Diceros bicornis minor: one gene and its partner. The protein of the gene in region 1 interacts with the protein of each later gene in a pairwise test. Links are inferred from orthologs where the notes say so. Each region holds a gene or a part of one and is shown in the gene's direction. Other genes may lie near its edges. The genes, in order: HPRT1 and ISCU.

What was found.
Region 2: the proteins of HPRT1 (region 1) and ISCU interact in binary tests that used the Homo sapiens proteins (3 or more experiments, as listed by UniProt). The two-hybrid records come from large-scale screens. The link is inferred for Diceros bicornis minor from reciprocal best matches to the Homo sapiens genes HPRT1 and ISCU.

The regions. Positions count from the first base shown.
Region 1 is NC_080781.1:122,364,688-122,375,267, forward strand, and holds the start of HPRT1 (hypoxanthine-guanine phosphoribosyltransferase), read left to right. Parts: upstream 1-6,506; 5' UTR 6,507-6,600; coding exon 6,601-6,627; intron 6,628-10,580. UniProt on the Homo sapiens protein: Converts guanine to guanosine monophosphate, and hypoxanthine to inosine monophosphate. Transfers the 5-phosphoribosyl group from 5-phosphoribosylpyrophosphate onto the purine.
Region 2 is NC_080774.1:18,770,238-18,780,654, reverse strand, and holds the start of ISCU (iron-sulfur cluster assembly enzyme ISCU), read left to right. Parts: upstream 1-5,681; 5' UTR 5,682-5,696; coding exon 5,697-5,810; intron 5,811-7,415; coding exon 7,416-7,529; intron 7,530-8,429; coding exon 8,430-8,540; intron 8,541-10,375; coding exon 10,376-10,417. Other genes in the region: SART3 (squamous cell carcinoma antigen recognized by T-cells 3), read right to left, coding at 3,918-4,232.

The DNA.
Region 1 (10,580 bases):
TGGGTGAAAGTTTGATGAGGAACAGAATATTTACATAGTCTGAAAGTATCATTCCTCTCAATCCTTATTAATTACAAAGGGAAAAATACTGTCTTTATAGTGAAGAAACCTGGCAGATACCGCCTTAGCTAAGAAATCCAAATTAGGGGCCGGGCCGGTGGCACAGCAGTTAAGTTCACGCACTCCGCTTAGGCGGCCTGGGGCTCACCGGTTCAGATCCTGGGCGCGGACCTAGGCACAGCTCATCAAGCCATGCTGAGGTGGCGTCCCACATAGAAGAACTAAAAGGACCTACAACTAGGATATGTAACTATGTACTGGGGGCTTTGGGGAGAAAAAAGAAAAAAAGGAAGATTGGCAACAGATATTAGCTCAGGGCCAATCTTCCTCAAAAAAAAAATACAAATTAATATCAATAATGGGACAAGTCAATAGCATGTGCCTCCTAATATGAAGCACTGTGAAGGACACACCATCGCTACTGTTGTATTTCTGGCCCAGAATGGAACGCCTGAAATTTAATGATGTAACGTCAGACAAACCCAAATTGTGGGAAATTCTACAGAATAACTGGCCAGTGCCCTTCAAAAATGTCTAGTCATGACAAAGACTGAAGAACTGTTCCAGAATGGAGACTGAAGGAAATGCAACATGTGCTACTAGATTGGATCCTGGTCCAGAAAAAGAACATTAATGAGACAATTGGTGAAATTTAAATGAGTTCTAGATTAGTTAATACTGTTATATCAATGTTAATTTCCTGAATTTGATCATTGTGCTGGGTGTGGTTATATTGAATGTTAACACTGGGGAAGGGTATACTGAAAATGTTGAGAGAGAAAACAAGAAGAAATAGGGAAGTAGGAGATTGAGGAGGGTGGTGTCCCAGAAGCCAAAGAAATAGATTCAAGAACAAAGTGGTAAATAGTTTCAAAAGGAATAGCAAGGACAGTTATATAAGGCCAAAAATAGTGTCCATTGGATTTGGCAAGATAGCTGTCAATGGTGTTCTTTGTCAAAGCTGTTTCAGTACAATGGTGGGTGCAGAAGACAGACTGCAGTGAGTTTGTTGAGGAAGAAATGAGAAGTGAGAAAATGGATAGAGGAAGCATGGAGGGACTCCTCACCTCTGGGCCTGGAGGAAAGAGGGCAAGAAGCAGTGTAGATGTGGATACAAGGGAATTGATGTGGTTCATGCCTGATTCTTTCAATATCTTCATAAGTTAATGAGTTGAGTCTGTATTTCTGGAGTGAGGATGATGGGGTTGAATGGGGACAAATGTTAAGAACATTCCTGAGGAGAATAAGAGGGGGAGCTGACCAAGGGCTTGTAAAGGATTGTGGAGGGGTGTTTAGGGCCCAGTTGAGCTTTGAGACCATGAATCTTTTAGAGAAACCAATCTCCATTGTTGTAGGATTTTCTCCAGCAGCACTCTGCAGCCTAGTAGGGGTAGACAAAACAGGCTGTGGGGTTGAACCAGGGAGTGGCTGTGCCATCTTGGCAGAGCAGAATTAGAAGGGCACAAAGGACTTCCGGCAGTTGGTGAGAGAGTGGTTTCAGGTAGGATCCAAACTGAACTGGGAAGTAAAGGAAGTAAGGGAAGCCAGGAGCAGGGTGATAGACCATAGAATTGGAGATCTCCCATGAATCTGAGGCACCATTATGCTAGGCAGGGTGGCCAAAGAGAACTGGAGAGAAGAAAATTGTGGTCAGAGATTGGGATACTGCAGTTTAAGAGCTGCCATCAGCAGCATTGGGAAGCACCCCCCACACTGGCCCTATACCATTGTAGGGGGACTACACATTCCAGTTTGCCCAGGACAGTCCAGTTTGTGTCTGTTATGCTGGCATCTTGACCAATTTAGCATTTGTCCCAGATTTTTCACTTTCCCATGAAATGTAAGTATTAATAGTTGAATTGAAATAAACCAGGATGGGTCTGTTGAACCACCACTTTTTAGTTCCAGCTTCAACCTTGGTCTCGTCTACTAGCTTGTGAGATGCATATACAAAGAACCAAGTTCTCACTTTAATACAGAGTTAAACCTAAACGACAACCAGTGATAACCCTTCTCCCTTTTCCTAATCTTTTCCAAATGCAATATAACTAACACCTCCCTCTCAAGGACGGCGTGCTGGGCATTCACTGATAACAAAGCAAGTGTACTCAGACGCTAGGAGTTAGAGACAACGGACTCATTCTTGTCCCCGGGTTGCGGGGGATGGGGAGGAGTATTCACCATTGTGCCCCTTGCTGGACACTGGGTGTGCCAGCCAAGGCCAAAGCCTGCAAGATACGTGAAGCTGCCAGGCCACCAGTCGGTAGGCCAGTGGATGTAGGAAATTACATATTTACGTGTATGTAAAATATTTTCAGGAAATATAGAGGCTGAGGAGTCCTGCCATAGAACATACGGCCAGTAGTCTGAATGCTCTTGGTACAATGGCTATGTCATTCATTATATGGTGCAAATCTACAACCCTTTATTTTTTTAAAATTTGCAGTCCACCCTTTCAGCAGGTGAGTCCAAAAACTAAAGTGCATAATTAATGAAAAATTAAATACCGAATTTGTTACTCAAGAAACTTGATCATGAATGTGTAACATGAACAAAACATTTGTTGACATTTATCATACCCACGAGCATGGGGCACATTGGTATCCCTGACCACATGAAAACCAGAAGGTATAAATCTGCGGAGACAGCATCAGCATCTACCTCAAAGGTTTGTAGTCATTTTAAGAAGACTGGGCCCAAAGATGATGATTTAGCGGGGTGCAGCTGCAGAGAGGGTATTAACACATATTGCTCTGTGAGTGACTTTTGTTTAGAACAAATGACTTTTCTTCAAAATTCATTTGCTCATTTTTATTTCAAGTTTTCTCGTACATGGCGAAAAGTGAAGTGATAGCTTTTAATGAGTAGCTCTCTCAGCAAAAGAACTTCACAAACAGCTAAATGATGCCAGTTTTGTATTGATATCATTAGATGCTTCAAATAGAAAATCAGTTGTATTAGTCAGAGTTCTGCAGAGAAACAGAACTAACAGAATGTGTGTGTATATATGTATAAAGACAGAGAGAGAAAGGGATAGAGAGAATTTATTTTAAGGAATTGGCTCACGAGATTGTGGAGGCTTGGCGAATCCAAAATCTCACGGAGTAGGCCGGCGGACTGGAGGTTGAGGGAAGAGCTGCAGTTCCAGTCCAAAGGCAGCCTGCTGGCTGAATTGCTTCTTGCATGGGGAGGTCAGCTTTTGCTCTATTCAGGCCTTCAAATAATTGGATGAGGCCCACCCACATTATGGAAGGTAATCTGCTTTACTCACAGTCCACTGATTTAAATGTTAATCTCATCCAAAAAACACCTTCACAGAAACATCCAGAATAATGCTTGACCAAATATCTGGGCACTGTGGCCCAGCCAAGTTGACACATACAAGTAACCCTCACATTAGTTTACTTCCAGTAATGGTTCAATCTTTCATCTAATTCATGGAATCAAAGTAAAGCTTATGGAAATTTATTCTGATGAAAGTGAAACACCTGACATTATTGAGAAAGCTATTGTAAATTCAGCTTAAAAATTCAACATTTAGGATAAGTATTTTTGCGGTTAAAATTTTTTTTCATAGAAATGCACATTTTGGTGGAGCACAGCACCATGGTAAAAACAAAGTTCTTACTAAATGAAGAAACATGTGGAGCAGAAATATACTTGGAATTGGTTGTGGTGCACAAATAATTCCTCATTATGTGCAAACATGTAGACTACAAAATTGTTTCTGGAAAGGCAGGAGTGGGGAAGGGGAATCTTGGTTTATACCCATGCTTTCCTTATTTCTTCCTGCGTGCAGATATTCTAGTAAAGAACAGTGGCATACCTAGCATATTTGATAGCCAGAGTAGATCATTTTTTTTTATGTTTTTTTTTTTTTTGAGGAAGATTGGCCCTGAGGTAACATCTGCGAATCCTCCTCTTTTTTTTGCTGAGGAAGACTGGCCCTGGGCTAACATCCATGCCCATCTTCCTCCACTTTAATATGGAACGCCTGCCACAGCATGGCCTGACAAGCGGTGCGTCGGTGTGCGCCCGGGATCTGAACCAGCGAACCCCGGGCCGCCGCAGCAGAGCGCGTGCACTTAACTGCTTGCGCCACCAGGCCGGCCCCTGGAGTAGATCATTTTTTAACAAAAAAATGACAAAATTATATGACAAATTCATTTTGTCTATATGACAAAATTATTTTCTGTAATAATTAGTAATAACCATTATTTTCTTGATTTCATCTTTAGTTTTAAAACAAAATTTTAAAAGAATACACTTCAATTTTAAATATATTGTCCAAATTCAGTAAAATATTTCATATATGAACCAGATTTTCACTTACCAAACAAAAGTATTACGTCTTACATTGCGCTTTGCTGTTTTAAGTTTTAAACGCAAATAAAAGCTCCAGGTTGTCACACAGAATGACAGGATTTAAATAATAGTACTGTTTGTTTGTCTTTACAATTACTGGGCTATCACTGTTTATTTCAAATCTCTGTTAAAATACAGGAGTATGTGGTACCACAGAGGTTGGAGAAAGAAAGTGCAAGGCAGAAGCAAGCTGGAATGGTTCTGGAAGTGTTGCGGACCTAATTTAGAAACAAGTGTGGTCAGCTGAGTCAGGGGCTGAATTTATAACCGAAAGTTCTCTGAATTAACTTCCCAGTGGAACACAATGTTTGTTAAAAGAGTAAGTAATAAAAATGTGCTGATAGGAACTTCAAAGTCTATACCCAATAGAAATGCATTCATATGTTCACCAAAAGATATGGAAAAAATGTTCACAGCAACACTATTTGTAATAACCCAAACCTGGAAACTGCCGGAATGTCTCATCAACAGGAAGAATGGATAAAAACTTAGAGGCTAAGAATTGTTTAAGGCAAAAATGTGGAGTACATAACATTGGTATTATCATTCATGGAAGCAAGCACTATGCTAGGCCCTTTTGCAATAGTTTGTTTAATCCTCACCATGCGCTGTGACAGAGATATTATCCGCATTTGACATATGAGGAAACTGAGGCACACAGAGGTCAAGGATCCTGCCCAAGGTCATAACACTAGTTAGTGGTGAACTCAGGTGTTTTTTTTTTTTTTTTTTTGTGAGATCGGCCCTGTGCTAACATCTGCCAATCCTCCTCCTTTTTTGCTGAGGAAGACTGGCCCTGGCCTAACTAATCCATGCCCATCTTTCTCTACTTTATATGGGATGCCGCCACAGCATGGCTTGCCAAGCAGTCCATCCGTGCGTGCCCCGGATCCGAACCGGTGAACCCCGGGCTGCTGCAGCGAAGCGCGCGCACTTAACCGCTTGGGTCACTGGCCAGCCCCTGAACTCAGGATTTGAACTCAGATCTTTCTCAGTCCAAAGCCCACATGTACCTTTTCCGTTATAGTCTGTCGCCTCTCCGTGATAGATAGGGAACATAGAGAAATTGAGTTCACAATTCACACACACGAAAATTATAACTGCTATTATTTCTTGAGCACCTACTATGTGGCAAGTACTATGCTAGGTGCTTTACATAAATGATTTTTACAATTCTCATAATAACCCTTCACAGCAAGAATTGCTCTTCTCATTCTTTAAATGAAGAGACTGAAGCGCAGAGAAATTCGATGACTTGCCCAGTTTCACAAATCTCCTACCATCACATATCCCTCAGTGGTCTTAATAGAGGCCACCAGCTCTGTGCTGGGCACTGTAGTGGGTGCTGGAGCTATACAGATGAGTACATTAGGAAGGGAACAACTGCTTGCCTGACCTATTTAAGAGCTGAGGAAGATTTTTTTCCAGTTCCATATAGGGAATTGTGGAGGCAAAAATAAAGATCAGTAACAGCGATCGTTCCTATTTACTGATTGTGCACTGTCCTAAGTGCTGTACCAGATATATATACATATATCATTTTTAATCCTCACCACGATCCTGTTAATATCCTCATTTTACTGAGATGAAAAGAGAGGCTCAGTGAGTCTGATTTGCACAAAGTCACAGAGCATTTAAGTGTTCCCTTGTACCCTGATCTGGCTGGCTCTAGGGCTCAACTCTTAAACCAGTTAAAGATTTTTGTTAGAATTGAGTGAGGAAAATGGAAGCCGCAAGGCAGTCCAAGGTCTTGGGAAGGGGACGCCGGCTGAGAGGAACCACGCGGTGACCGGAACCTGAAGAGCGGGCGCCCAGTTGAGGGCCACTAGGAAGACACGCGGGCGGCGGTAGTTCGGGGCATTCGGGAGCCACCTGGCTGGGAGACTGAGGGAAAGGAGGTGTAGAGGCTGCGCAGGCGGAGTCGCCGCTGCTTCCGGAAGAAAACGCCCCCCTACCACCTCGGGAGCGGGAACCGTGTAGGCCTCGGGGGAGGCGCGCGGGGGCGTGCAGGCGGGCGTGGGGCGGAGCCTCGGAGCGGGGGCGGGGCCTGCGTCGCCCCGGCTCCCAGCGCGGCGGTGGCGGCGGAGAACGCTCGCGTGACCCTCGCGGCTTTCCCGCGCTGCGCCGCCGCTTCCTTCTCCTCAGACTGCCGTCAGCCTGCGCGCCGGCTCCGTTATGGCGAACCTCAGCCCCAGTGTCGTGGTGAGCAGCTTGGCCCGCCAGGCCGGTGGCGGCGGCGCCTGGTCCCTGAGGCGCGGGGCCCGCAGTGCGGGCTCGGGCCGGGGTGGCCTGGGGAAGCCCGGGGGCGGGGGGTGGCCGCAGCTTCCCTGGGTCGGCTTTACTATGTCGCCGCAGGGCGGCCTGGGGGACGGAATGGCGAGCTTTGGGGTGGGCGCGTCCCCTGGAGAGCCCCGGACAAGAGGGCTGCGTGTGGCGAGAGAGAGTGGAAATGGCGTTTTGGTTGACAAGTGCCGCCTGCGAGCGTGCTTGGGGGAGGGGCCGTGGGCCAGTTCGGGAATGATCTGACGGGGTGAGGGTGGCGGCTTTCTCCGGAGAGGGCCTGCTCTGCAAATTTGGGGTGTGGGGGTGAGGTGCTCAGGGCACTGCAGTAGAGGCCCTGGCACGGAAACGACCACATAGGAGGGTGTGTGGGGACGGGTGTCTTCATCTAGTCCTGCAGATATTAGAATGAATGTTTGTGGGAATGTACATTGCCTCCCTAAATCCTGGCTTGGTGGCGGTAACCATGCCAACCTTTTGACACACCGAGAAAATAGTGAAACGCTATTAGGTCATTTTCCCACGGCCCAGGGGTAGCCAGGCCTCGAATTCAGGTACTCGGGAGTCGGGAGTCTGGATCCTGTGCACTTTGATGCTGCAAGGGACAAAAAAAATGCGAATATGGTCCTTATCCTCAAGGACATTCATACCGTAATCAGCCTTTCGTATCCTGTCTCTAACCACATTGGTTTGTTTTCTTGTTTCTCGAACAAGCCAAGCTGCTCCCCTCCCTCTGTCTCTGATCATGCTTGGTAAAACAGCCAACCCCCCTCTCGACAGTTTAATGCCGTAGCCTGCGTTATTATTATTATTGTTGTTGTTTTAGCAGTTACCTGATTACCTGTTGATTCTCTCTCCCACTAAAATAAACTTTATAAGGGTGGGAATAACCACTGTAACTCCAGTGCCTGGCATGTAAGAAATTCTCCATAATGGTTTGTTGGATGAATAAATAATTAACCACTTGAGCCCTTAAAAGGGAAGAGTTCTATTTTATATTAGGCATTGTGACTTAAGGTAAAGAGTAGGAGTCTGGCCTGGAATCCTGCTTGTTTGGGCTATTTACTAGCTGTGTGGCCTTGGGTAACTTACTTCACCTTTCTGGGCTTAAGTGTCCTTATATATAACTGAGGTGCTAGCTGCCTCGTGGTGTTATTGAAAGGATGATAAGACGGCCTATGTGAGTAAACAACCTTTGCATGGTCCCTGACTGAGAATAGTAATAATAGCTATCATTGTGTTTAACTACATAGTCCTATTGACTCCTCAAAACAACCCTGTAACAGCAGTATGATTATTACTGTTTTAGAGGAGAGGAATCTTGGACGCCTCAGAGAAGTTAAATAACTTAACCTTTTAACATACCCATGTCACACAGTTATTAAGAGGGAGCTCAGACTCGAACCTAGGTCTCTCTCAAGAGCCCATGCACTTAAATGTTAGGCTGATAGTAGGTACTCAAAAATGGTAGGGGCTGTTGTTTTTATTCAATTGCTGAAGAAGTTAGATGCTTTTAGCTTTGGGGTATGATGCCTGCCCCATCATACAGTGAATTATTATTGCTAGAACTGGCTTTTAGTTATGCTTGAACATCAAGATATTCATTGTATTTTTGGTTTGCAAATTCCTGTTCCTTTTTTTATTTCCTTCCAAGAAATTGTCTGCATGTTAGTAATAACAAATATTTAAATAGTGCTTACTATGTGCTGGCTACCGTTCTAAGCCCTTTACATATATTAACTGGTTTGATATTTATTTAAAAAATTTCTGTGGCTCGGAGAGGTTAAGTAACTTGCCCAAAATCTCCCAGCAATGCTAGGATTTGAATTTAAGTTTTCTGGCCCCAGAGTCTGTTCTTACTCTCTCCACTTTTAAGTTAGTAGTGACAATGGTAGGTATTTATTTAGTGCTTACTATGTTTTAGGCATTGAGGTAAGTATTTTGCAGACATTATTTAATGTAAACGTCCCAAAGTTGCATAATAGGTACCCTATGAGGTAGATAAACATTGGTGTGACCTTGGAGGCACAGATTGGTGAAGTAACTTGCCCAACATCACTCAGATGAAATTGGCCCGCAGATCTGCCTGATACAACCCATGCTGCTTGTAACTGTCATATTAAACTGCTAGGGTAAATTTGGACACACTTGAACTAAGAACAAGCTTCTGGATTTTTGCGAATTAATGTGAAACATCAGATATGCATTATGTGGATATAATATAAATTTCAGGGTAGTAGTGTTAGAAATGTATTCTTATACTAACTGGACTTAAATCTTACCCTGCCAGTAATTTTCCAAGAATTGATAAAATAGTGCATTTTCTTTGGCCACAACTCTCTCGTTATTATCAACAGGGTTTGGACTGACATTGGTCACTCACTGTAGACCAAAATTATTGTTCGTAACCACCAAGAAAAGGAGCAGTTCAGTTTGGAGGTTTCATTCTGCAAATTGAGTAATGTGACACGCATACTATAGATCCATCTTAATTGTTTTCTGTCTGTTATTTGTATCTGGGTATTGCAGAAAGTCCCTAGGTAGGCTGTGGGAAAAAAACAAGAGGACCAACCAGATCAGCAGAGAAAGGGCTCCTGGAGTTTTCTGTAGTTTGTTAGGCAGTAACTGATTCATGTCATTTTTTAACTGGGCCCCCTGTGTGAAGAGTTGCTTCAAATGCACTAGTATACTCTTCTTCCTTTCATAATTATATATTGTGTAGATTCAGTAAGATTTATATGCTGTAAAAGTGTCAACCACCATCATTAATATCAATATTGAGACTCGATTGTTATTTTCCTGCCAGTGGCTACCAAAGTACTAACATTTAGAGTAATTCACCACTAATAAGAATTCAAACCAACACTTCAAATTGCTATGGAACTACTATCTTCAACACTATGCTTCTAATAATTGACAGGTATGTATTTTTTTGTCCAGAAGGAACGTGTCATTTCACTGTGCACACTAATAAAAGGAAAGATCATAGTGTTGGATAAATTCATGTCCTTGCATATATAGCAGTTGTGGGCCCACTTACCTAGGAGCAGCTAATAATTTATCCCTGGGTTGAATAGTCAGGTAAACCTTTTAATTCTTTAACCCTTAGGAGGGAGGGCAGGCAAGTTATATACATAATTTATTTGTAAGACTGATATGAAATTGAAAGATATACTACTAGCTTAAATTATTTTCACATTTAGGAATATGTGCATCAGTAATTCATAATTTTGGTTTTATGATGCCCTGAGTTATCACAGATTATCCCAAGGGAATAGCATATTATCTGCTTTGGTGTTTTTTGAGAATTTTAAAATATCTGGATATAAAAGGTAAATGCCACCTAGCAATTTCTGTCCATTCTAGAAGCTTGGAATTGTTGTTGGTTACTAGGAATAAAATAAAATGTAATATATCTACTATTGTATGTCTTTGCATCGCGTACATTTTAAGACTCACTTCCTCACTTCCATTTAGTCTTGTTTGGATGCACGAACATTGTTATTGTTATTATTATTTTCTTAGAGGGCTTCAGTGGCTCTTTATTATTAACTTCTTGTAACCTTGCTCTACATGAGATATGAAGTCATCCAGCAAAGAAGAAATTACCTCCTAAATTATAAAACCAAGGCTATAACAATATCAAAGGCTGGAGAAAATCACATACCCCTTGTTACAAGTGAGGAAGAAATGTCAAATATCATTTATTTTAAAAAATCGTAAAAACATATAAACGTATAAACAACTACTGTCTAAATTTAACAATGTATCAGGTTTCATCCTCTCCACCTTTATCTTTGAATTCCAGTAACTGGTCTGTGGTATAGTATAAAGAACCCTGGTCTGTGAATTAGGAAGTCTGGATTCTAGGCCCC
Region 2 (10,417 bases), on another chromosome or scaffold:
AAAGTAGTTACCTGGGTTTAGGAGGGGGTAAGGGGAGGGGCAAGGCAGAGCAACAGGAGAGAAGCCACAGGTGCACACAACAGTACCAGCAAAGTCCTCTTAGACCGACCGGTGGGGTGAGTGGTGTTCATTTGATTACCATATCCTATAATTTATAGACGTAAACTGCTCTGTATGTATCAACGCCCATGCAAAAAGATAATAAAGAAGAATCGATAACTGATAACAGCATGACGTAATTTTTTTTTAAATCTTAAGACTTTTAGCAATGCTCTGCTCATGACTTATAAAACTCGACAAGCTAACCACTTGTCGAGGGGTGGGGGGGGGCGGTTTGAAAACGCACTGGACTAGGTCAGGACACAGCGCTCTCACCTCCACTGCTCCTCAGTGTCCTCCCTGCAACACGAAGGAGCTGGAGCAGACCTCTGGTTCTCAAGTCAGGACACTCATGTTCCAAAACTGACTGTCAAGTGCGTCGCATAAGTAACAAAAGTTAAAGAAGGGAAGCTGGTGAAAGATGTACTTTCCACAATAAAGAACATTCCAGGTCCTCCCTGTTACCCCCCCACTCTCGACGCACCTGGGTCTGAGCATGTGTTCGGAGCATGAAGGGGGGTGGGAGGGTCTTTGCTAGTTAGGGTGAGGAATGTCTGTGCAAATGCCCCTCGGCTGGATACCACGTGTGGGTCAGAAGAAAAAGTTGGAAAAGTGACTTACGTAGAGGAGCTGCCTTTAAGGTGGCTTTTGGTTGGGGCCGGCCCCATGGCTTAGCGGTTAAGTGCGCACGCTCCGCTGCTGGCGGCCCGGGTTCGGATCCCAGGCGCGCACCAACACACCGCTTCTCCGGCCATGCTGAGGCCGCGTCCCACATACAGCAACTAGAAGGACATGCCACTATGACATACAACTATCTACTGGGGCTTTGGGGAGAAAAAAAAGGAGGAGGATTGGCGATAGATGTTAGCTCAGAGCCGGTCTTCCTCAACAAAAAGAAGAGGATTAGCATGGATGTTAGCTCAGGGCTGATCTTCCTCACAAAAAAAAAAAAAAAAAAATGAGAGACTTTAAAAAAAAAAAAAAGAGGTGGCTTTTGGTCTAAATTTCTGACTTTTAGGCCCAAAAATGAAGATACGGTATGTAGGGAGGTGCTCTGAAAGTATGTATATTAAATGCACACTGAAATGCAGTAAGAGACATCTCCAGAGTTCACTCGGCACTGACAAACGAGTGCATATGCTGGTCTATTCCAGACTCAGAACATCATTAATGACAAAGGATGCTTTACAGCAAGAGGGGGCTTGGCCAATGCACGAAGTGACCTGCTGACTTCCTAACTCCCTGGAATTAGCGTGGAGAGGTAACAGATGGGCCTGATGGAAAGGACCCAGCTGCTGCGATCAGGGAAAGGCGGGGACAGGAGAACAGAGCACAGAGCAGGTCTGTGTCACACAGGCCCTGGCATAGCACCCACGTGCCAAACTGTGCCAGGAGCGTAATGCGCATCGTGTCACTTAAACTGCACAACAGCCCTGTAAGGGAGGGACTACTATAACCCTCATTTTCCCACCTGGGACCCCGCAGACCCAGAGAGCTGAAATACTGTGCACGAAGTCTTTCCACTACTGAGCAGAGGCCTTGAGCTCACATCCGGCTGCAAAGCCATGCTCTGCACTGCTCCGTGGTGCACTAACGAATCTGCCCGAGGGGGCTTTTCATTTCAGGACCAAACGCAAATAACGGGAAATCGCTGCTTTTGTTACACGGACAGACACCACACTATTTTCAAGCTTTCATAAAACACACCTAGGGATGAGAACCGGAATTCTCAAATATAGCAAGGCCGAATTTCTCACAGACCTATCTGTAAGTTATTCATCATTATGCTCAGCCATAAAAGCAACTACAGCAGGAAGTAGAAGCTGTGAGATCCAAGGGAGGTTTGGAAAAATTGGAAAAGTCCATTTCTAGACCCAGGACAAAGAGAATAAGGCCAGAGGCTCTTCAATTCACCATCACTGGCCAGGTCCCCTCCTGTGTGGTCACCTTCAGAGCTCCAGCCCAGCCTCAGTGGCCTGAGGCAGGGCAGGCAACTGCAGAGCACCAGGAGACCTCTGCTCTGATCCATCCTCCTTCCTAGTAAGCTGGGTACCCTCATTAAGGACTTCTCTGCTTCCAGGCCTCCCCTTCCCACTAAAACAGGTTATCCTATTTCCTCTACCTCACAGAATAGTAAGGTCCAAGTGAGCTAATGGCTCACTGAAAGGCCCAAGACTCCAAGTCTGAAGAACAGACGTGCACCATAATGACAGGGACACGCCAGTCTGGCACTCCATATCACACTGTATTTGCTGAACGAGCAAAAGACTGAACGATCATCAGCAAACTTCTTTAAAAGAAGCAGAAGTGGTAACCACCTGCCTACCCCAACTGGTTCCCGTGACAATCAGATATGACGACGAGTGGGACAAGCTATACCAATGGATGATATCACTACTCCATAACTTGACAAATATATCACAGTCAGAGAGGACATTATAAGCAAACTCACACCCAGCAAGCTTAAGTGAGGAACCTTCACATCACTAAGTGATTTCACATCCAGAGTGGCATCTGGTCCACAGACAACCCTGAAAAGTTCAAATCCCCTTATGAGTGACCTTAAGCAAATCATTTCATCATTTGTGCTGAGCCTCTGTTTCCTCATCTGTAAACTGAGAAGGTGCTAGATCTCTTCCGTTTGCCCCTCCAAATCCACTCCACCCCCTCCACGCTGTCCTGTGCCCCCGCCACCCCCACCGCCACCGTGTGGACCATATCAATGGGCTTCCTGGCTCTCCTGCTTCCAGCAGAGTTTGCCCAGTAGGAGGCACCGGGAGATGTCTGGAGAGGAAGAGAGGGAGGTGAGGGTATTTCTTCCCCCACCTCAATCTCTGATAGGAAACTGGGGCCGCATCCCTTGCCCAAAAGTCTTAGCTCCTCTCAGGTGCCCTCCCACCCAGCTATTCAGAAAACCAGGCACTCCCCTCACTCCTTCAGGCCTAAAAGTGGACACAAGGTCCTGCTGTTATTAGTTCTTAAGTGCTAACCTTCATTCCTGATGTCCCTGCCCACACCTTTACAAACACAGTAGTCCCTTTATTGACCTTTTCTCAAATTATCCTAATTTGAATGCACCACCTATTTCCTGCTGGGATCCTGGATTACACAGGAGATCCACCACCTGTATCTCATAAAGTCACAGATTAGAAGTCACGTCACTACTAGGTGCCCCCCACTGAATTATATTACCGTTATGTCGTTTACATGGTGCAGGAATTGCTACTCCCAATTTACAGATGAGGAAGCCAAGGCTCAGAGAAGCTAAGCAACGTGCCCAAGCACGTACAGGCGTGGAAGAGCTAGAACTGGGGCCTTCGCCTCCAGACGCTGAAATCCCCACCCTTCTATTTCTGTGATCGTCGTCACGGTCAACATTTTCTGCCACGCCACATTTCAGCATTATCATCATTCCTACAGAAAAATAACCCTCTCTTACGAAGCGAATTTTATTTCTACTGCTGGGCATAGCCTAACGGTGTGGTGAAGAGTGGGAGTGCTGGAGTCGGTTCAAAGTTCAAGACCTGACTCGCCACTTGCAGGAAGTGTGATCTTGAGCCTGAGAATTCTCTCCACGAGGAGCCTGTTTCCTCCCGTAAAACGGGGAATACGCCCCTTCCTTCGCGGGGTCCTTGCGAGGGTTCAGTGGGATAACGCTTGCAAAGCACGGGGCCAGCGGGAAGCGCTCCAACGACAGGAGCTGCGGTGACGATAGCGGTTCTGCGGCCTCGGCGTCTTTATTCCCGCTCAGGACCACGGAGGCGGGCCGGGGCCCGGGGACGCGAGGGAAGGAGCCCGCCGCCCACCCCCGGGCGCACCTGCTCCTCCAGCCGCTCGATCTCCAGCTGGTTCTTCTCCTCCTCTTCGTCGTACTCCCACTCGTACTCCCCGGGGGAGCTCTCCGCCGAGGAAGCCATGGCGTACTCCTCGTCTCCATCGCTCTCGCTCATGCCCTCCTCCTGCTGGTCCCACCCTGGCCCCATGGTCTTGCACGTCGCAGCGGCCACAGCCCGCGATAACACCTTCCTCCGCGTCCTAGCCGCCTTCACCTCCTCCTCCTCTCCCTCGGCCTTGGGCCCAGCGTTGGGCTCAGCCTCCGGTTCCGAAGCCGATGTTGCAGCCGCGGTCGCCATCTTGCGCTTCCAGTGACTCTCGGGTCCTCACGCGGCCGCCGAAGACCCGCAGAAGTAGAAGCTGCCCGCGGCGCGTGCCTGATCAAAACCCCGCACTCTTGCCACTCAAAGGGAAACTGTGAGCTTCGGGTGATGGAAAAATCTCTAAATACACGCCACTCACATTGTTTTTATATACTTGTAAAAGTTTTTTTCAGAGAAAGAAGCTTAATAATATGGCATATGTACGGCCACAACTTCGGACAGAAGATGGGTCTTTGGACCGGAAGTGGAGGCCATTAGAGGACGTCATGGAGGGAGCGTGATGACTGTGGTTAAGGGTTTGGAGCCATCTTGAGAAGGTCAATATGATTCTTGGGATAAACGCCTTGCTTGCGTCTAACCTGGCGCGTGGTTCAGTCTCCCCAGCAACTGAGCGTCAAACGCAGAGAAACCTCCGAGTCCTCTGGGAAGTATCGATTGCACCATCCACGAGAAAAATCCATTTCCCAAAGAGATTCCTCCCCTTTATGTAATGCCTGGTGCCTAGCAGGCGTTAAATAACACGTGCGAGATTTCTCGTTTTCTAAGACCGTATTCTGCAAACCAATATTAATAAATTACATGACTAAACATTTATTCAGAAACTCTTCACTGCCAGGTATTGTCATATAAATTGTGCCAGTTTGCTTTATATTGAAATAGACGCGGACATAAATATACGCATTTTTCTGTTAATCAGGGCATGGTGTTCGTTTCCTTCCTAATTAAGCTTCCCATTTTTGAGGTAGGAAAGTATTGGCGTGTTCATTTATTGCCTTCCTCCTTCGTTAGCAAGCTTAATGGAGCAGGGACTATGTCTTTCCGTTGGATCCCCAAAGCCTATTAGTATAGCGCCTTGACATATGATAGGTACTGAACACATATCTGCTCAATGGATGAAAAAATTGGCCTTGACTTAGTACAAAAGAGAAGATCAAGGCTTAGAAAGCTGATGTCATTTGCCTACAGTCACACAGCCAGGAAGAAGCAGAACCGGGATTCTAACAGGATTGTTCGAGTTTGAATCCCCACTGAGTCAAACTCTGGGCAACCTCAGACAAGCTACTAAGTCGCTCTGAACCTCAACTTCCTAAGCTGCAAAACAGAGTGAAGAAAGGTGGACTAGGTGATGCTCTGCGCCGTATTCCGGCGGTGGGCTTTGTGAACGCGAACGTAGGTCCCGCACTCCAGGAAGCTGAGATCCTAGCAGATACAGAGCCCAGCGCCGAGAACAAACCCGCCTGCGACCCCACAGCTCCCAGCTCCGAGCCCCGCCCGCCCTGAGGGGCGGGGCCCAAGCGCGGACACGTGCACGGAGCGAGAGGGCGCAGGCGCGACGTCGCGGTGACGTAGGAGGAAGCGCGCTCCGAGCTGGGAGCCGACTTGCGGGCGCACCCCACCCCTCGGTCTCGCGCTCGGCCTGCGCAGGCGCAAGCCCGCAAGATGGCGGCGGCTGGAGCGGGCCGTCTGAGGCGGGCGGCGTCGGCCTTGCTGCTGCGGAGCCCGCGCCTGCCCGCCCGGGAGCTGTCAGCTCCGGCCCGGCTCTATCACAAGAAGGTGGGCGCGGGCGAGGGGGCGCGCAGGGCCCGCGCCGGCCGGGGGGGCGGGAGTGCGACGACCGCCGAGGGGCCCCGGGCGTGCCGGCGGAGGCCCAGCCCAGGGAGGAGTGGCCGCGGGGCTCTGCGCGGCCGGGGAGCCCCTGCTACGGCGGGGGAAGGGGCGGCGCCCGGCCCCGGACGGAGGGGCCGCCCCCTCGCTCGACCCTGCCCCTCGCTGCGCAGGAACGCTAACCCGCCTGAAGCAAGCACCGGCTGCGGCTCGTGGAGCCGCCGCCGCCCGGGGCCCGCCGCCCGCCGCGGGGTCTCGCGTCCCGGCCTTTAACTTCCCAACAGTCGGGGGCCTGTTGGGACCTGCCAGCCGCATCCGGGGCCAGACACGCACACCGGCTCCAGCCAGGCCACTGCCCGGGCCCAGTGACCTTGGGCAAGTCACTGCCCCTCGCCGAGCCCTTTTCCCCATTTGTAAAATGGGGGTCTTAGCACTTCTAGATCTACGCGAGGTGATGCTCGTGGAGTCCTCGGCGTGATGCCTAGCACACGGGGACCGTTTATGGTGCCGCAGCTGTTACTGTGGTAGGAAGGAGCCTCTGAGCGGAGTCGGACACGTAACCAGCAGTCATAATGTTTTTATGTATGTTTTGGTTTTTTCGTGGGGGGAGGGGGAGAGGAATAGGCGCAACGTTTACAGCCCTTGCCTTCTGGGGGCGTAAAGTCCCCTAGACGTGAGATTCTTTGACTCCGGAAACTAAGCGAAGAATGCCGTACATCAACATGGGGCAGAAAGTCCAGATTGGACATGACCTTGTAGGTCCTTGGGCTTGGAGTCCGAGTCCGTGGTCGGAGAGGTGGGGGAAAGGAGACTGGAAGATCGGGATACTTAGAGCTAACTGGTAAACGGACCCAAGGCTATTAAAGCGTGTGTGCCAGTGTGAAGAGAGATTTATTCGCTTCTGGCTTCACGATGCCAAGGACTTCCCTCCTCCGCCTCCCGGGGGTGTGTTTTGTTGACATTTCACGCTGAATGAGTTCGAGCTAGCAGCCTTCCAGCCACCAGGGGGCGCTGCTGCACCGGGGGGCTTTCAGGGCCCTGAAATACAGAAACAGGCCTGATGTTATCATCGTACACAAATGCACAGGGTCCATAGCATTGTTCCTTCTGTAACAGTCTCCTTGAGGCTCTGGGAAAGCCTTACATTTCTGACCCGTACTTATTTTTAGAATTTTTGAATAGTAATCATTAACCTTTAAAAATGGATTTTATTTGGAAATAACAAAAATACTGTTTGAGCCCAAATCTGGTGACGTAGGTGGTTAAAGGTCAAGTAATTATGTGTGGTTAAAAACCCTGTGGAATTAAGACATGATTTGGCTGGTTTTTCTCTCGTATCTCAAATCTCTGAAGGTAGTTGGAGAGGAGATACAGAAAGACTTTGGGTCGCAAATGGTTGTCATTGACAGAGGTGTAAGCCTTCCTACCAGGGTGAAATTTGGGATTTAGTGATCGCCTGCCAGGTTCAGCCTGCCGACTTCCGGGAGCTTACTGTCAAGTCGGGGAGACCAGTACCAAAAAAGAGTCATGATTGCTCTCAACCTTTCGTTTCAGGTTGTTGATCATTATGAAAATCCTAGAAACGTGGGGTCCCTTGACAAGACATCTAAAAATGTGGGAACTGGATTGGTGGGGGCTCCAGCGTGTGGTGATGTAATGAAACTACAGGTAGGACCGGTTTTGATCTTGAATGTGAATAACAGTGACCCCTTTGCTTACACAGAGCTTCACTGTTTACAAAGCATGCGCACACACAGCATTTCGTGCAGACTCCATCTTGATTCCTGTGAGATGGGGTGAGTCAGTGTTATAAATTGTCAGAGCAAGGACTGAATGCTAGTCCCCCTGCTAGTAGACTGTGCTGACCCTTTCTGATATAGTAAACTGATCTCCCTTTTCTAGTCACTGGATCAGCTTAAATTCCAGCTTCAGCGAAGTAAAGTTTTTATGAATTTTACTGATCGAAGGAAAACCACAACCGTTCAGCTAGCCACCCTCAGTGAGACAAGAAATGTAATAAATCAAACCTCCCCCAAATTGGCAACAACCTGAAGGTAGTGATTGGCACTTTGGGGAAACCGTAGCTTTATGCACAATCTACTTCATCATGGTGGGTGGGCACCTTGCCAGAGGTTTTCATGCTTATCTTGGAAAACAGAAACAAGGCAGGAGGGAACCACTAAAGGTAACTTGGTGCCAAGAAAAAAGCAATAACCAGAGACCTTTAGTGCAGACCGTCCCAGTGCTTAAAGAGGCAGACTGACCCAGCAGCTGTGAGCAGAACTTCATAGCCAAAAAGCAGGCTAGCATTGCAAAAAAAACTAGGGAGGGGGCATATTTTTCAGCTCATCTTTACCAGCTAAGCCTGTATAATTCTGTATAGTTGTTCCCACGTTTAACTTTTCCTCACTGAGCTCTTTGAAACAAAGCAAGCGCGGTAATTAGTGCCAAAACTTAGTGTGGAAAGAAAGACCACAGCTCTTGGGGAGAGCCCCGGTGAACCTCGGTGAGGGCCAGGTTCTACAGGGCATCTCAGGAATCACTGCCTAACTCCTGTCTCTTTTCTAGATTCAAGTGGATGAAAAGGGGAAGATCGTGGACGCCAGGTTTAAAACATTTGGCTGTGGTTCTGCCATTGCCTCCAGCTCATTAGCCACCGAATGGGTAAAAGGGAAGACGGTAAGGTTGCTTGCCAATTGGACGGCAAGTAAATCGAATTCCCCACAAACCTGGCTCTCAGTTAAGGGAAGGGTCTAGTGAGTGAAAAAAAGTAACTATGATTTTTTCAAAATATCATTCTAAGAATTTTTTTTTAATTTCTCCTACCCAGAGTGTGATTAAATTCTTCTCTGTGTTGGGAATTATGGATAATTTTGTTAAGTGCTTTTTAGTTTTTTGGGGTTTTTGTTGGTGGTGGTCATTTTTATTTGTTTGGAGATTTTGGTGGTGTTTTGTTTTTAATTAGATAGAAAAAAGATCCTCATGTCTCCCTCTAACAAAATAGAACTGAAAAGAAATCTTTGCCTTTCTCCAAGGTTGCTGACGTTGTTATAACTTCTTAGAAGTCTAAGTCCGAGGAGGGTATTGTTTAGTGGTTTGTTTTCTTGTTTATTTCTTTCCATGATGTTCCAGGAAGGATTGCAGATGGCTCACAAGGATCATGAAATAACAAGTAGCCTGTGCTAAAGAGGATTGGAGAATAAAAACACAGTGAGGGTGGGGGCAAAGTGAGCAAATAAATCAGAACAGTGATCCCAGTGGCTGATTGGCAGCCCTCTGAGTGGGGAGATAAGAAAGGTTGGAACATCCTTTCCATCCTTTTCTCTGCCAGAGCCTCTCCCCGGCAGCTGCAAAGGTAGAAGGTCCCAAACCCAGCGAAGAGCTAGACTTCCTAAAGTCCGGTTGTTATTAAAACCTCTCAGGAAAGCCAGACTGCAGGGTCCTCGTCTCTGCGGCCCCAGGGCTCCAAGTTCAGGAAGCTGAGTCATGGCTTGGGGCGCTGGGCCGCTCCACAGCAGAGCGGTGTGCCCGGCCTCGAGCTACCTGCTTCCTGAGGCTCAGGGCCCTCTGGCTGGCAGGCTCCTATCCTGTTCGGATAGGAGCACGGACCTATCCTGTTCTGGCAGGAGGGGACCCTGCAGGGGTTTGTCAAGCATTATCCTGAGGGAGAGGGGAGATGAGGGAACAAGGCCCCTGTGCTCCCAGGACCTGGCCCTTAGGGCGCTGTGAGTCGTCATCAGACACTGGGGGAAGAGGGCCTTTCTTTGACCTTGAGATCCTCCCATCTGAGTTTCCAGAGCTTGAAGCATAATTTAGTGGATTTAGTGGAATTGGGAAACAGGGTGCAGATGGGGAAACCTGGCTTTCCTTAAGGCAGTGGGGCTCTCTTCCACTTGGGCAAGGAACTGCCTGCCTCATGTTTTGCCCTCGGGCTCTCAGCCAAACCCCAGGCATCCTTTTCAGTCTGTGTAGAGGGCACAGATTCTCCTTTAGGCAGAGGAGGAGCCTAAGGAGAGCTCTCATCCCAGGACCTGTCTGTGCCACCGCCACAGTGCTGGAGTACCACCTCTCCCACTTCCCTGATGCCATGCAGCTCTTCTAGTTGAAGGGATTTATTCTAAACGTTTGGTATAAGGACATCAGAGAAGCTGATATTCACAAAACCAGCATGGGAAGTCACTGCCTCTTTTAAAAAAAAGACGCATGTTGCTGGCTCAGGCAGATCCCTGAGCGACTCCTCACGGGTTCTGCTCGGGCTTATAGAGGTGTCTTTGCTGGCCTTGCTCACCCAGCCAAGCAATGCAGGTGTGTAGTCTTCGTATCTGAGAATCCCAGCTGCAGCCCTGACACGCACGGGGATCCTGAGAAGGTCCTCGGTCCTTTGTTTGGGGATATTAAATGGAAACCATCCCCCACCACCCTGTCCCAGGGCCTCTTTGGCCTTCCTTTCTTATTGTCTGTACCTCAAGGTAGAGCATCGCTGAAGCTGCTCGTCTTTCCTTTATGCCTCTTAGGTGGAGGAAGCCTTGACCATCAAAAACACAGATATCGCCAAG